2 linked regions of the Arabidopsis thaliana genome follow. The protein of the gene in region 2 interacts with the protein of the main gene of each other region in a pairwise test. Each region holds a gene or a part of one and is shown on either strand. Other genes may lie near its edges.

Evidence for each region.
Region 1: the proteins of AT2G33350 (region 2) and DREB26 interact in a two-hybrid assay, tested with the Arabidopsis thaliana proteins (one large-scale study listed by BioGRID).

Annotation. Positions count from the first base shown.
Region 1 is NC_003070.9:7,693,424-7,700,489, reverse strand, and holds DREB26 (Integrase-type DNA-binding superfamily protein), read right to left. Parts: upstream 4,064-7,066; 5' UTR 3,836-4,063; coding exon 3,143-3,835; 3' UTR 2,659-3,142; downstream 1-2,658. UniProt on the Arabidopsis thaliana protein: Transcriptional activator involved in the regulation of plant development and tolerance to abiotic stresses. Involved in salt and osmotic stress response pathways. May be regulated by the stress-related genes RD29A, RD22, DREB1A or P5CS during stress response.
Region 2 is NC_003071.7:14,132,068-14,139,880, forward strand, and holds AT2G33350 (CCT motif family protein), read left to right. Parts: upstream 1-3,074; 5' UTR 3,075-3,135; coding exon 3,136-3,210; intron 3,211-3,297; coding exon 3,298-4,044; intron 4,045-4,180; coding exon of another isoform or gene 4,181-4,183; coding exon 4,184-4,381; coding exon of another isoform or gene 4,382-4,423; exon of another isoform or gene 4,424-4,457; coding exon 4,458-4,586; intron 4,587-4,661; coding exon 4,662-4,769; 3' UTR 4,770-5,094; downstream 5,095-7,813.

The DNA.
Region 1 (7,066 bases), on a different chromosome or scaffold from region 2:
TTTAAATCTTATAAAGAAAACTTTCTTGAGGTACATAATTGTATATATGGCCATATGGGATTGGGAAAAAGACTAAAAGACAAAGCACATATGACCTTAACTCTTAACTCAATTATACATGTATAGAAAAAGTTTACTAGCAAACAATTCTTTGCTACAAAAGTCTCTCTTCTCTTCTCCGATACAAGAAACAGAAGAAAGTGTTTGGCCTGTAAAGCTTGGCGTCACATGTTTGGTAGGCTACTGATATTTGAAAGCGACCAAAACTTATGTTATCTGGGCCTATGATAAAATTAAAATGCTAGTAGTAATTGGATTCTTTTATCCAACATGACAAGTAAATGATAACTCTGTCACCGCCGCCAATATTTTTCAATTTTCAGAGTCAAGATAAGTACAAGTAGAAAATATATGTCGTGCAAGGACACGATCGGATACAACTTTTTGGCAGTGGTGCAAAAAAGTAACTAAACCTAATCTTGTGGACTATATTGACTTCTATTTAATCTTATATTATTATCTAAAGCATGCCCATAATTATTCATTTTTATTGTAAACTTTTTTTTTTTTCATTTGGCTTGTAAATGAGTAAATCTATATCAAAAATATATAGATTCTTCCACACATTTTGTCAAGGGAGATTATTAGGGCTTTTTTTTTTGGCGAGCAAACAAGACTCTTCCACAAAATTTTTGGGGATCAATAGGTTGTCAGTTTGGAATCTACCACTTAGAAGAAGGAAGAAAATCCATTACAAGTTTTCCTATTTACTAAAACCTTTTTTCTTAACTTGACATCATCGTCTACTAAAATTCTTTTAATCCAATGAACTTATTAAAAATTGCATATTTCACTGTAGCCATCAATCACCATTGCTTCTTATATTCAGAAATTGAACTTAAAGAGTTCAATCCACTTTATAAAGCCTTAAATGAACCGAATTATGCCGAGCCTCTTTTTGAAGCCCAATGCATTTCACTATTTGCAACGAAAGAAATTCTAGAAAAAGAACTTACAGCAGACAGCAACTTTTAATGATTTTTTCTGTTCTTTTTTTATTTAGCAATGGATGGGCCAGAATCGATAATGAGCTAGACAAAAAATAAACGATAATGGCCCCAAAACCAAAGCCCATGGACGCCGAATCCTAAATCACTAAAGAAATAGAAACGACTAAAATAAGAGCGTTGAGCAGGAGACATGTCATGTGACTTCAAGGTTTTATCCCAAATATTGAAGTTTAGATGTTCCCTTTGACAAAAGAAATGCTATAACACTCTACACAATCAGATTTAATGTTGATGTGATATGATATGAATCATATGAATGTCTTATCAAATCACTTTATCTTCTTAAGTATGGGGTCCCATCTTATGTTTAGTTGGGACCTCAAAATTGTGAACAAACCATTTAACTATGTCCTGTTTTCTATTATACAGACGATAACGTCTCCAAGATTTTTGTCACACTAAGACCAATATATCATACTTTACTCACATGATCACTGATCACATCATTTTTTCTTTTTATATATGCGGTGTTAGTATGATGTAGATTCATAGGATATGATCACAATACTTAACTATTAGACCAAGTTCATCTAAGCCAGCCAACAAATAGCATTGAACCGTATACGTTCACACACTAGGAAACAATTATGTTTGACCGAGTGAGCAAGCTTATTAGTTTTCACTTCTAGAGTGGAGGATGGCTCTGGTCGTAAGAGGACAGTTACAAACTCACAAGTCACAATATTGTACTTTTTAATCAGAGTAAAACGTTTTGTGTGCACTCTAATCATCACTCAGTTAAAAGGTGGAACAAAAGTATATGGTTTTGATGGCCTTAGACAATCAACTACGTCAACCACATCTCTCATCTACACTACAATTTTTTTTTTGTGGTCTACTCTTTTTCCACATGGCATCTGTTTGTAAAAGGTTGTGAACATAATTTGACTAATATCACAATTTGCGGTCACTCTCTTACATGTTAAATCATATATTCGTTAAACAATCTTGTATACATTGATCTATTGATAGAACCAAAGCTACAAAATAAAGCAAGCTAGAGATCTCCTACCTTTTGGTGATGGTTTCAAGTAAGTTTCATGGTTTGAATGAGTTAGAGTACTCTGAATATGAATAGAAAAATCAGTTTACAGTACTCATTAGTGAATCCTACATAACTCTAACTCTATTGCAGTTATTTATATCCCTTGACTGCAGTTCTGTCTCCATGGGATTCTTTCCCAAAAAAGGAAAATAAATTAAATCAAAACAAATGGTTTTTTAAGTTCCAAGTTTCAAAGATATGAACTTTGTCCCCAAGCAATGTGTGCATTATTTGCTATACCAAACTTTTCCACGGCACATGAAACAGTAAGATTCCTCTGAGTATAGTACTATACTTTAATTTTTGTGCAAAAGTATAGTACATAATAGTATTTAATCAAACAAATTATGAATTATGAAGAGACCTCGGGAAAAAGTAGTTCAGATTTAATTATACATTAATTTACATATATATTCATCTTAAGAACTTTACCAATGTCAATGTCAATGATGTGTTCTAACTTCTAACCAATGATGGTTGTCAATTAGTGAAAAAAAAATGATTGTCAATTATATACATCATCGGCTTTACTACTTACCAAAATAAGAATAAAAAACAAAGATAATGTGTTGGATTGCAAAATCATCACATATTGGTAGCAACTTGGCACATATATACAAGTAAACGAGTTGGAGAAAATGATACAAAATCATATATAGCGCCAGATTTATTTCACAAAACTATTGTGCGAAATATATCATTACAATACAGAAATATTTTCACACATTGTTAAAAAAAATTGATGAAAAGAAACCTCACATGAAAAAGTCAAAGAAGTGACAAAAAAAAGAGTCGCTTGTTCATGTGAACTTCCTAGATCCCTATTAAATCCGAATTGTACCGAGTTTGCTACATATAAAAACTTACAATTATATTATATAATCGTATCCGTCGTCAATTCTCTCCAAGCAACAAACAACTTGGAAATGAATAATTACGACGAGGGTAAATATATGTTACATATATAAAAAAGAATTTAAAAAATGATTTAGAAAACTAATTAAAGTATGTATTATGGACCGTCGGATTAATTGAAACTCCAAAGCGGAATGTCAGCATCTTCGTAGAAGTATTCATCGAGCATCGTCGTCGAGTTTAGTTGAGGAGAGTAATTGAATGGAGCTCCATTATCAAACAAGAACATCCCATTATGATCATCATACCATGAAGATGTTGAATCCATCAAAGACACATGATTGTCCACAAAAGATCCCATCAAAGATTGCATCCCATCATCATGGTGATGATCATGATCGGACGGTGACGAGACGGCTGATGAAGTAGGGGCAAAATGGTTAAATGAGTTGGCAGCTTGAGCAGCTACTCTTTGGATGGATTTGGGGGACAAAAGGGTATTTTCATCTAAGAGATTATCAAGAAGATGATGAGAAGAAGAAGAAGTAGGGAAGTTGAGATTGGCTTGAGGGCCTTTGAGACATAAGAGTGCAACATCGTAAGCTCTAGCAGCTGCTTCAGCTGTTGAGTAAGAACCTAACCAAATCCTTGTCTTTTGATTTGGTGCCCTAATCTCAGAGACCCATGATCCCCAACTTCTCATCCTCACTCCTTTGTACTTCTTAATCTTACTCTTCTTGTTCTTGTTCTTACACGAAGACGAAGACGAGGAAGAAGATGAAGAAGAAGAAGAAGATGGTGATGATGACAAAGGCATTTCCTTTTTTGTGCTGCTGGTTTGGATCTTGCGTTCTTGTTTCACCATGGTAATGTTGTTGTGTACGTACAGGCTTTGTAGAGTGATTGGACAATGTGGTAGTGATCAAGTGGAGATATTGTTCTTGAGTTTTTGTTGTTGTTGTGGATGGATAGAGATTTTTTGATGAGGATTAGTGTGAGCTGAGAAGATTATATATAGAGATGGATTGATTTGGGAGGGGTATGGGAGAGGAAGAGATGAAATATTATTTATTGATATAAATCTAAAATAGGGTCAAATGAAATATAGTATGGTTTCTTGTGTATGAATGTGACATTGTGGTGCATGACAGGTGTTTTTCTTCTAATTTTTCCTTTATCCTAGCAATTGGCATTAATACATTTTTGTTCCATTCAAATTAAAAAAAGAAAAAAAAAGAAACTAGTGAACATAAATCTTTGGAGCTTAGTTATTTATTCGAATATGGATGCATGTTAAGGCTTTGCCCAATTGTTCGAAGTTCGAACAATGAACCTGAACATGGCCTCATCTTAACCTTTTGCTATTTTTGCATTTTCTTATAAAAAATAAATCATGTATAACTAATATTCTTGGTATTTAGAGGAAAAATACATAAACGTATAATGATTTTGATTGGCTTTTTTTATTGAGGAACCACAAAACAACAATTAATTATGCGATCACGTAAATTTTTATCAATTGCATGTTCTTGTTACAAAGAAAAATGTATATTTTTTTATTCTACAATTTAAATGACAAAAAACATTAATTTCACAAGGGTCCATTTTACAATTAGATTTATTCTCTCCAAGTTTATTAACGTGTTAGATTCTTTCTAGAATTTGTCCAAAATATAAACCGAGTGAACTAAACTATCAAACTAAAATAAATTACCGATTGGAGTCAATTTTGCTAGGAATTAATTAACCAGGAGAGTATATATATTATACACACGGACGCCAGTTGATGAGCAAATCGAGGAGTGATGCTAAAATATCCTATAGTATTTTTTTAGGTTGTGAGATATCAATTTTCTTTTATATATTGACTATATACGTACCTATCATCACTATCAGGAGATTACGAATTACAGCTGCGTTTTAACGCGTTAACTCGTAATACGAACTTTCCAAGAAAGTGGCCCCATTTATGGTTTAATTATTGGTTGTCTATGTTTATTCTTTACCGATTAAACTAGTGTGTATATTTGTAGTTATACACCAAATATATATATACTGTATCATGTTTATATATTTTTATGAAAAAGTGACTGTAAAACCTGCAAACATACGTGCACGAAAATGTTATTACTTGTAATATTTTTTATTACTAGAATATTGATCCATCTAATCTTTTTATTAGATTTGTTACGTGTATCATCAAAGTCTAAAGAAAAATCTGGTTTTAAACCTAGCTATATGACAACTTGCTATTGAATTTAACATTTTAACATCGTGGCTCATCGCTTTGTGAATTGTGAGTAACTTACGCGTTAACAAAATGGAGATGTCGTACAAAACAGTAATTAGTATAAATACGTTTGATAGTATTATAATCATTTGGTAATCTTTAATTATACACCATAACGTAACATGTTACATAATACATACAAATGCTATTCAAGAAGAACGATATCGCCTTTTAGCATCTTGTTTTCTTACATCATTAAACAACATGAATTTTGTTAGTAATATGGAATACTTACGAAGAAAATGTCAATAGGAAATAGTAAATGAAAATAGCGAAGAGTGAAGTCAGAAGAGTGTGGGAGAAGGTGATGATGCTAAATTGATGAGTGACTTCAAATTACAGCTGTTCTCACTCTGTCTCTTTTGCTACCCAAATCCAAACCGCGTTTTCTCTCGTCAGACTCACTCGTGTATTTATCTTCCTAAATTTTGTAATCTTTAAAAAAAATTAAAAAAAAATTCATACTATATCGAAAATATGATCCAAATTTATAATTACATCGTTTTCTCCACATACAACTTGTGTTATTAAAATTATATATATACATATATACACAATTTGTCTTTGAGTCATTCTATTTTAGAATATAGAAAATCAAATAAAGCTCAATTTAACTCGTTTTGTCGAGTTAGGATTTCGAATTCTAATAAATTTTGTCTTACGTAACTTTAATATATACCAACATAATTTATACGAACATATGCTAAAGATTGATATAAAGTATAAACAATTGAAAAAGGGGGAAAATATAAAAATAAATAAATAAAGCATATAAAACTTTAGGACACGCAACGAGCACATGATCGTATGTAAGAAAAGATGGGAGATGACATGTTCTTTGTGGACAGCCTTGACTTTCTCACAAAGCTTAAGATTAATCATGGGATATGGTACTTTAATTTGTTGTCTTCGTCTTTAGATTTCACACTTTGGTCTTAAGCAAAACTCTCCAAGATGTCAGTTCGATAAAGAGAGCGAGAAAGAATATGGGCGGATTTTGTCAGCTTTCCAGCCAAAACATGCGTTTGCATGACGAGAAGAAGCATCTCGATCGTGGCTTCTTTCAATTTTAACTTTTGAGTTTTAACACGTAGCTTATTTCATATTTGACACTTACTCGAATGTAATCTCCTCTTTTGAATTTTGAAAATGATACACTAAACTAGAAATGCATCAATTTTATAGGCTTTTATGACTAATTGATGTCGAGTGGATTGACCATGTTCATTATATTTTACGATAGGTTTTAGGATTGTCAAGATGTTTCACTTACACATGAATAGACATATTCAGACATGCAAGCCTAAAGTAAAGGCTAAGGCAAGTAAACAAACATTGCAGTACAAACATATTTGCTTTAACAAACAAACAAACAAACAAAAATTAAAACAAAATGGATCTTTCTTGATAAATGGAAAATCCAATAAACTGTATGTATTAATTGGTGGTACCGTACTCTCTCCGTACCAGTTCCCAACAAATGACTCAACAATATCACCACGATACAATCTCAACCTCAATAGTTTCAACATTTATTATTGGTGTACTATTTATCGTAACAAATTTGGAGGATTACAATACTACAGCGCATGGCAAGGAAATTTCGAGGAAGATGAAATAGTATACGTTGAATGTTTTTTGTTTTTCATATTTTTTTTCATTAAAGATGTACGTTGAAGGTTCAACCATGTATAATGGATCCAGTGAACTAGGTTCAACCACCAAATCCTTTTCTTTTGTATATCTCACAGATCTATGATTTAGTCGGTTTTGAAAATGTTAAAAATGATGTGGGGACATAAAATA
Region 2 (7,813 bases):
AATACGTACGTATAACGTTTGAGATTATGTAATTAATATTGGTGAATCGTAATTATATATAGATAATTAATGGTTGATTATATATTACAGATGCACATGCATATATAAATTTTCTTCATTTTAGGTATTGGTTTTATATCTTGAAATTAAAGTGGTGGTCGTTTTCTATTTGGATAATGCGTGATGCATATATTGCATTTCAGACTTTATATGAAGATGGTCATATCTTCAAAAGTATCAATTCATCAAATCAGCTTTGATCTTAAGCTGTTTTACTTTTATTTTAATTTCCTTTCGTTAAATTTTAATCTGTAAACAATTTATTGCAATTCTCGTAATCCCAAATTCTGAACTTCTACACCCAGATAATCCTTATAATATGTGTCTTAATCGCTATTATGCACGTGTGTAGTGTAGTTTAAGCTCATACACAATTTTGTGTTCAAAAAAAAAACCTCATATAAAATTTAGTTTGTGCAGACGACTTGAAAGTGAAGTAATAATATTTTTGGACATAGAATAACTAGATAGACTCTTGACAATGATTTTCAAATGGTAGATAGACTTTTGTGACCAAAATAAGATACTGAAAGGCGATGTTGATGTCTCATGATTAGAACAAATAAAAAGAAGAGAACTATATTTTCCATGTAATGAAATAAGTGAAATACAAAAAACACTTAAGATCTACTATAGTAACCAAAAACGCTTTCAAAACCATTAAAATAATATTTTATTTTTATCGGCAACACAAGTACAAATGTAAATCGTGGGCTTAAACAAAAAGTGAATCCGTGTTTACCTATTTGAAGACTATAAATGTGAAATAAACACTCGTAAGTTATAGTTTGATGGATAACACGTACGACTCGTACTTTTGTTTGTGTCTTACGTACCGATAATGAGATCTCGAGCATGTAGCCTGTAGTCTCTACACACATATCTTCTCATATTAATTTTTTTCTGTTATGGACCTTATGGTTATTAGAATAACAAAAGTGTACGAAAGTGAAATATTCTCAATTTTGAATAACAATGCATTGACCCTATGCTCAAACTGTCACAATCAAAGCATTTTTCTATATGAAATCATTTTCATATTTTTTATTAAAAAAAATGTTCGAAGTTGGTTAAACATTGTTTTCGAATTTTATCTGATATCCCTAAATATTTTCTTAAGGCAAATAATATGCTTATTGTCCAAAGACATTTTGTCCAGTAGCATTTTACTTTAGATATCTTCTATTTTCTAATACTTTACTGACCTGGTCGAAATCTTTTTCTCTCCTTTGCGGGAAATCATGAGCCAAGTCAATAAAATTAGCAAACGAGATAAAAGATAGAAAAATGCATATCTAAATTAAAAACATAGAAACTAATTCCACGAATATAGGGCTTAATTTAGGACGATTTTCAGTCAAAAACGTCAAAATCCACGGAACAAGAATTGGGTCAAACTCATTGACCGGTCTAAATAGTTTCCTCCTACGTGAGATCCTTTACCCACGTCAACACCATTATATCTACGTGGGCTTTCCACGTCATGTGAAGAGGAGAATCGAGGGTATCACATTTTTGCATCAAGTCCACGCTGGAATATATTATAAAAATTATGTGAAAATAATTTGTACATACACTGAAACACACATGCATTAGTTTAGTATATACAAATATATACATACACATAAAACCAAAAGTATATATATATATGTATGATTGTTACGTGAAACTCCCATAACCTCTTTTTTTCCAGAAAACTATAAGAATTTGAATTTCTTCTCTGTCCAAACAGAAGAACCTTTGTTCTGTTTTTAATTCAATTACCTCTTTGTTTTTTCAGTTTTTGTTGTTTTTTCCTCCCAATATTTGAATTTCTTCCATGGATTTTCTTGTTCATCATACATCACTCATTCCAATATTATTCCACAAATCATCCTTGAAGCCTCGTTCATTAATTTTCTTGCTATAATTCATATTTTCTCGGGAATTTTCTTTATTTTCCCAGAAAGTTTTCGCATTAACATTGGAGATATACAAAGAACACAAACATGTTGCAAGACATGATCTCGTCTCACTCTCACGATCAGCTTTCCATCGTAATTCTCTTCTCATTATTGCTTTCATTTTTATTCATGCAATGCGTAGATGTTTTTGTCTTTGAAATTTTGCTTACATGTATAGATCATATAAACTCGAGTCTAATCTTATAAACTGATTAATTTTTATTCCGTAGTCTTTTATTCGGCAACTACCCTATAATTTCAGCTAGTTTTTCTTTTTTGGTGTAACGTCATTTTCTTCTACTTATATTCCATTTGATCTTCTTATAAATTGCTTCATTCTTTTCGCTTTTCTTTCTTTGTTATTCTCTCCGCACTTCAATTTGTCCTTCCATGCGATTTTTTTTTGAACAATCATTATCATAATTCTCATTGGCATACGATTATTACTTATAAACCAATAGAAAATCGTCACATGATATGGAACAATATTGTTCTACAAAATAACTGTAACCATAATTCACTATATCTATCGTATTTTAGTATAGATTTTTATTCTCATCAAACGAAAAATGCTAGATTTAATCTCTCACCTTGGATTTTATGCAAAATCTACATATTACGTGAATTTCACTAGGAGCATTGTTTGTTATCATGATGGGTTTGTATATGATCATGATCATAATGGGTTTCACACATGTTCTGATATTTTATGAAGTGCCCTTTACTTTTTCTTTGTGGGAAAAAAATCTGGATGTTGGTTCATACCAGGCAATTTTAAATTATTTTGTCAATACGAAAAGGAAATACCAGAATCAGAAAACTTTCCGTTTATAGAAACTCCACTCTTCTTTACTTTATCTTTTTAGCTATTGGAAGTAATTGGAACACTTCTTCTTAACATGTCACATAAAAGAACAGATGCATTTAATCTCTCTTGTGTTGTCCTCAACAAATATTGATAACAAACAAACATTGGATTTGATCAAGACACCAAAATCTTTGGAGTGTTTGGATGTCGAAAAACAGAATCAAAACATCTTACAGATTCTTAACATAGTTAAGCCAGAACAAAATTACTTAAGTATAAATAAATTTCTCTTAAGATTTAAGAACTAATATCTTGTAGCTTCTTATGATTTCACCAGTTCTAATTTCTTGTGACTCAAGCCAAAACCTTTGTTACCTTTTTTTGATGCTTGGCTTTAACGTAATCTCTTCAAAAGATCTTGGTTCATTTACTTTCCATGCTCGATCTAATCTTTGAAACTAACTATTGTTTTTATTATCTTAACAGGATGATATCACGAGCCCTCTTAGTGCTCAGATCTTCGATTTCTGCGATCCACAACTCTTTCAAGAAACCTTTAATCAATCCTCTGAAGTCACCTCTACTTCAAACATTCTTGAGAAATCCGGAAGCTTCCATTCCAACACTAACACCACCACAACAACTGAGAACAGTAACAACAACAACAACAACAAGAACACAAACCTTCAAGACGATGAAGATGACAACAACAACACGGATCTGTCCATAATCTTTGATTCACAAGAAGATTTCGAAAACGATATAACGGCTTCAATCGATTTCTCATCATCTTCACTGCAATATCCAGTCATCGATCATCTCCTCACGGCAATAAGCCAAGACCAGTTTGATTTCTCATCAGGTCTCCAAGTTATTCATCAGCCTCCTAACATTTCATACTCTGGAGATCCTCTGTCTCTATCGGCGATTTCCTCTCTAGCTCCTCCTCCCTTACAATCAGGGGTTTTCGAAGAAGATTGTCTTTCTTCAGTCCCAAGTTACAATCTTGGTTTGAACCCTTCTTGCTCTTTCTTCCGTTCGTCCGGTTTACCGGCGTATATGAGTACCGGTTTATTATCTGCTGAAAGTAATCTCGGTTATCTTCCCGGGAATATTCATGTGGGATCAGAAATCAATAAGCCACATGATCCACTGATGGACTTTCAAGCTGATAATGGTGGTTTTTTTTGTCCGGATTCCATCAAACGTATGTTTAATCCAGAAGATCTCCAGGTAATTGAGTTTTTGTTACAAATATTTTCCGGTTAACGTTTGGTTATCTTTAAGAACCGGTATGGAGCTAAGATTTCCGGTCACAAGACCGGGTTGGTATTCTGATGTGATGCTAACCGGTTTAATTTTGTTGAAGAAGGCACTTGGTGGTGGCGCCGAGAACCAGAGCCACTTGGTGACACCTCAAGCTCATCCAGCATTAGGACCGGTCGATATAAACGGTTTAGAAGACTCAACGTTGAACAAAGTTGGAAAACTCTCCCCTGAGCAAAGGAAAGAGAAGATTCGTAGGTACATGAAGAAGAGGAACGAAAGGAATTTCAACAAGAAAATCAAGGTTCGGTTTTTATTAAACCAAACCGGACTTAACCGTTGTTAAATGTTGTCCCAATGATTTTTTTGGGGGGTTGTAGTATGCGTGTAGGAAAACATTGGCAGATAGTCGACCAAGAGTTAGAGGAAGATTTGCAAAGAATGATGAATTTGGTGAGCCAAATAGACAAGCTTTTTCAAGCCATCATGATGATGAAGATGAAGACGATGTAAGAAAACCGGGTTATTTTAACTCGATTTATATGAATTTATGTGAAAACTAACTAAGCCGATTGGGTTTACAGATGGGAGTGAAGGATGAGGAACAATTGGTAGATTCTTCAGACATTTTTGCACACATTAGTGGAGCAAATTCCTTCAAGTGCAACTACCCAATCCAATCTTGGATTTGAGTTCCAAGTGCAACACCACATATACCTCATGTTTTAACATGAATCTTATAATAGTTACACAAATAGTATTGCTATAGAGTTATGACTTGTATACTTAGTTTTGTCATGCCCCCAACAAGTTCTGTGACTTCTGTCAAAAAAATAAATAATCTAACTCGTATTGAAAATAAATAATGAATAATGGGTTTAGGCAGGTTTGGATGAATAAATCAGTAGTGAGAATAAGGTTGTAATTATGTTACCTAGCAATTTGGAAATTTTGTAGATACTATGATATGTGATGTCTTGTATTTGATAAGTTGAGTTGAATTTTTTATCACCTGAACACTCTATATATATAATCGTCATATGAGTTATTATTTTGCTTCTCAAATCATTCAGATGTTCTATGCATACAAAATGAATAGACCGGTCAAATTGTCATGTCTAACACCTGGTTAGAAGATCTAATTAGTAATTAGATAATAACTATTTGATCCAAAAAAAAGGATAGTAGTAACTATTTTTAAGAAAAAGATGAAATAATTGGGCTTTAATTTGTTAGTATCAAAATGTTGGACTGGGCCAACAGAGTGTTACAGATCAATTATATAATTAAGGCCTCCCTTGTAGGCTACCATTTAAGATTAATGTAAAGCTTAAACGATTGACAACTTGATGCATGCGCAATAAATGATGATCGTACCATAATTTCATGGCCATATATAGTTGCTAAACTGAAAGAAGAACAAAAAGGTTTGTAGTAACTTTGTAATGAAATAATTCGATATTTTATTATGTTGAATAGTTCTTTTTGTTCGTTTCTGAAAAGTGAAAACCCATTTGCTAATTTTTTTTAACTTCTAAGTTCTAACCGAGGACTGTTAAAATATAAATGGCGACTAAGTCAATAACTTCGAACCAAACGTATCAACGGCAAATATTAAAATATAGTGATTTTGACTTTAGAGATGAATTATGGTATTGAAATGTCACCATCAAATTTATGAAATCACTATAGATTTTTATGTTATATAAAACTATATATATTCAAGAGTTTAACTATGCCATTTGACTTATAAACACGATAAATACAGTTTTATAATCTTACGGTCGAATAAATGCAAAGTGATTTCTTTTTTTCTTTTTTGACAGCGCAAAGTGATTTCATTGTTTGGTTCCTTAATTTATCGTATAATCGAAGTGTTCAGAGCAAACAAAACTTATCCTAAAAGTCCAATGAGTTAAAAATTTCATCATGGCTATAATTACTCTTTTGAAAATTAAAACATCCGATCTTGATCTATATAGATGATAGACTTACACAACTTGATCACGACACAAGTCTTATCAACTTCGAGTCTATTTTATAACTTATTTTCCAGAACATCTACACGTGTGTCAAAAATCAAAAATATCGATAGATATGATTTTCGACCAGACACACTAACGAACTATAAAATCCAAGAAATAAGACTAAATCACATGCATGAAGAAACATGTATTCTGGTTGATGCTTCACATTTCCTTTTTAAAAAGGTTAATGAGATTAGTGCAAACAAATGGACCGGATTTGGTGGAGGAGAATCTTAGAGTATACAAACCAGAGCATCAATTTTATAATACGTACGGTAGGTCGACTGAATTTACACGTATATTTAAAGTCATATAGATATATATTTACAAACATATAATCTTCTAGATGAATAATTGAACTGACATTTACGATCTTCAAGAAGAATAATACACATATGTAGTGGAACTAAATTTCACTATACTATTTTATCGAAATTTACGTATTTGAATTTTGAAATTTAAATAAAAATGTAAGTGAAGGTGCAACCAAATGGTCGAGTCAACCATGTGCCACAAGCTCACGGTCCGGAATGAGACAAAACAGTTTTGTAATTTTGTTGGGTTGGTCCATATATTCTCAATATTCGTAGATAAAATATCAATATATGTTCTAAAGCCTCCAAATGTCAAATATTTTAATCATGTATAAAAAAGGCAAAATATGTATTGTAGGGTTTGTTTTAAAACTTTCAAACAATATATAGGTTTAATTTAACCTTTGCCATTATTGTATACGGAGCTACCTACTTTGGAAGTCGACCGTTTTCTAACAAATCACTCAATATCTATCTAATTAAAAACCTACCATTTTTATAACACAATCATACAATTTAAAAACCTCTTATTTTCTGGTTGAATGTTTATATTAGTCAAGTCAGTATTGCATGTTTAGTACAAATTTGTTAAAATTTAACAACAATCAAATTGCAAAACTAACTAGAGAATTTAGAAACTTTGTTGAAACTCGTATAATAAATACATGCTTGAAATTTAAGAAATTTCTTCTTTTGATGTGTAACTAAATCTTATTACAATTAATACTACTTTTGTCTTTTTTTCTTATTCGTATCTTTTTTTTTTCCTTAAATAATGGCCTAACTCGATCCGGTCTTGGTAAACATCATGGACACTTGTATAAATTTCAATATCAAAATTGGTCATCCAAAATTTTCTAATGATCGGGCTAATTTCGTTAGCAAAAGAGTTATATACTAATCAACTACATATAAGAACGTCCAAATCAAAACCTAAGCACATGAATTTGAATCGATCCACTACATCATCCATACAATTAACATAAAAAAGTTCTAAAAAATCAATAATTGAAAAAAGAAGATCTAATGAAAAAAAAAACTTTAATGAAAATAAAATAAATTAATAAAGAATAAAGAAAGAAAATAGTGAAAATAGAAAAAGTAAATAGTAGAAGAAAATGGGGGAGTTAATAATGTGGGCACTAGTCTCTGAAACAGTAACTTCTACTACTAAAAACTCCTGCTTTTTCGCCAACAAGTAGCCATCACTACCTTCCTTTTGATTCCCTCTCTCTCTCTCGATCGTGCCCACCAGCTCACTCACCCTCCTAAATCCACACTTTAAACTAAAAAACCCTAAATCTCGAGCCTTGACACAAGAGAGAAAAAAGAAACACACAACACAAAGAAGTGGGTCCGCATTTGTAAGAATCACCATTCCTTAGTAGTGGCCAT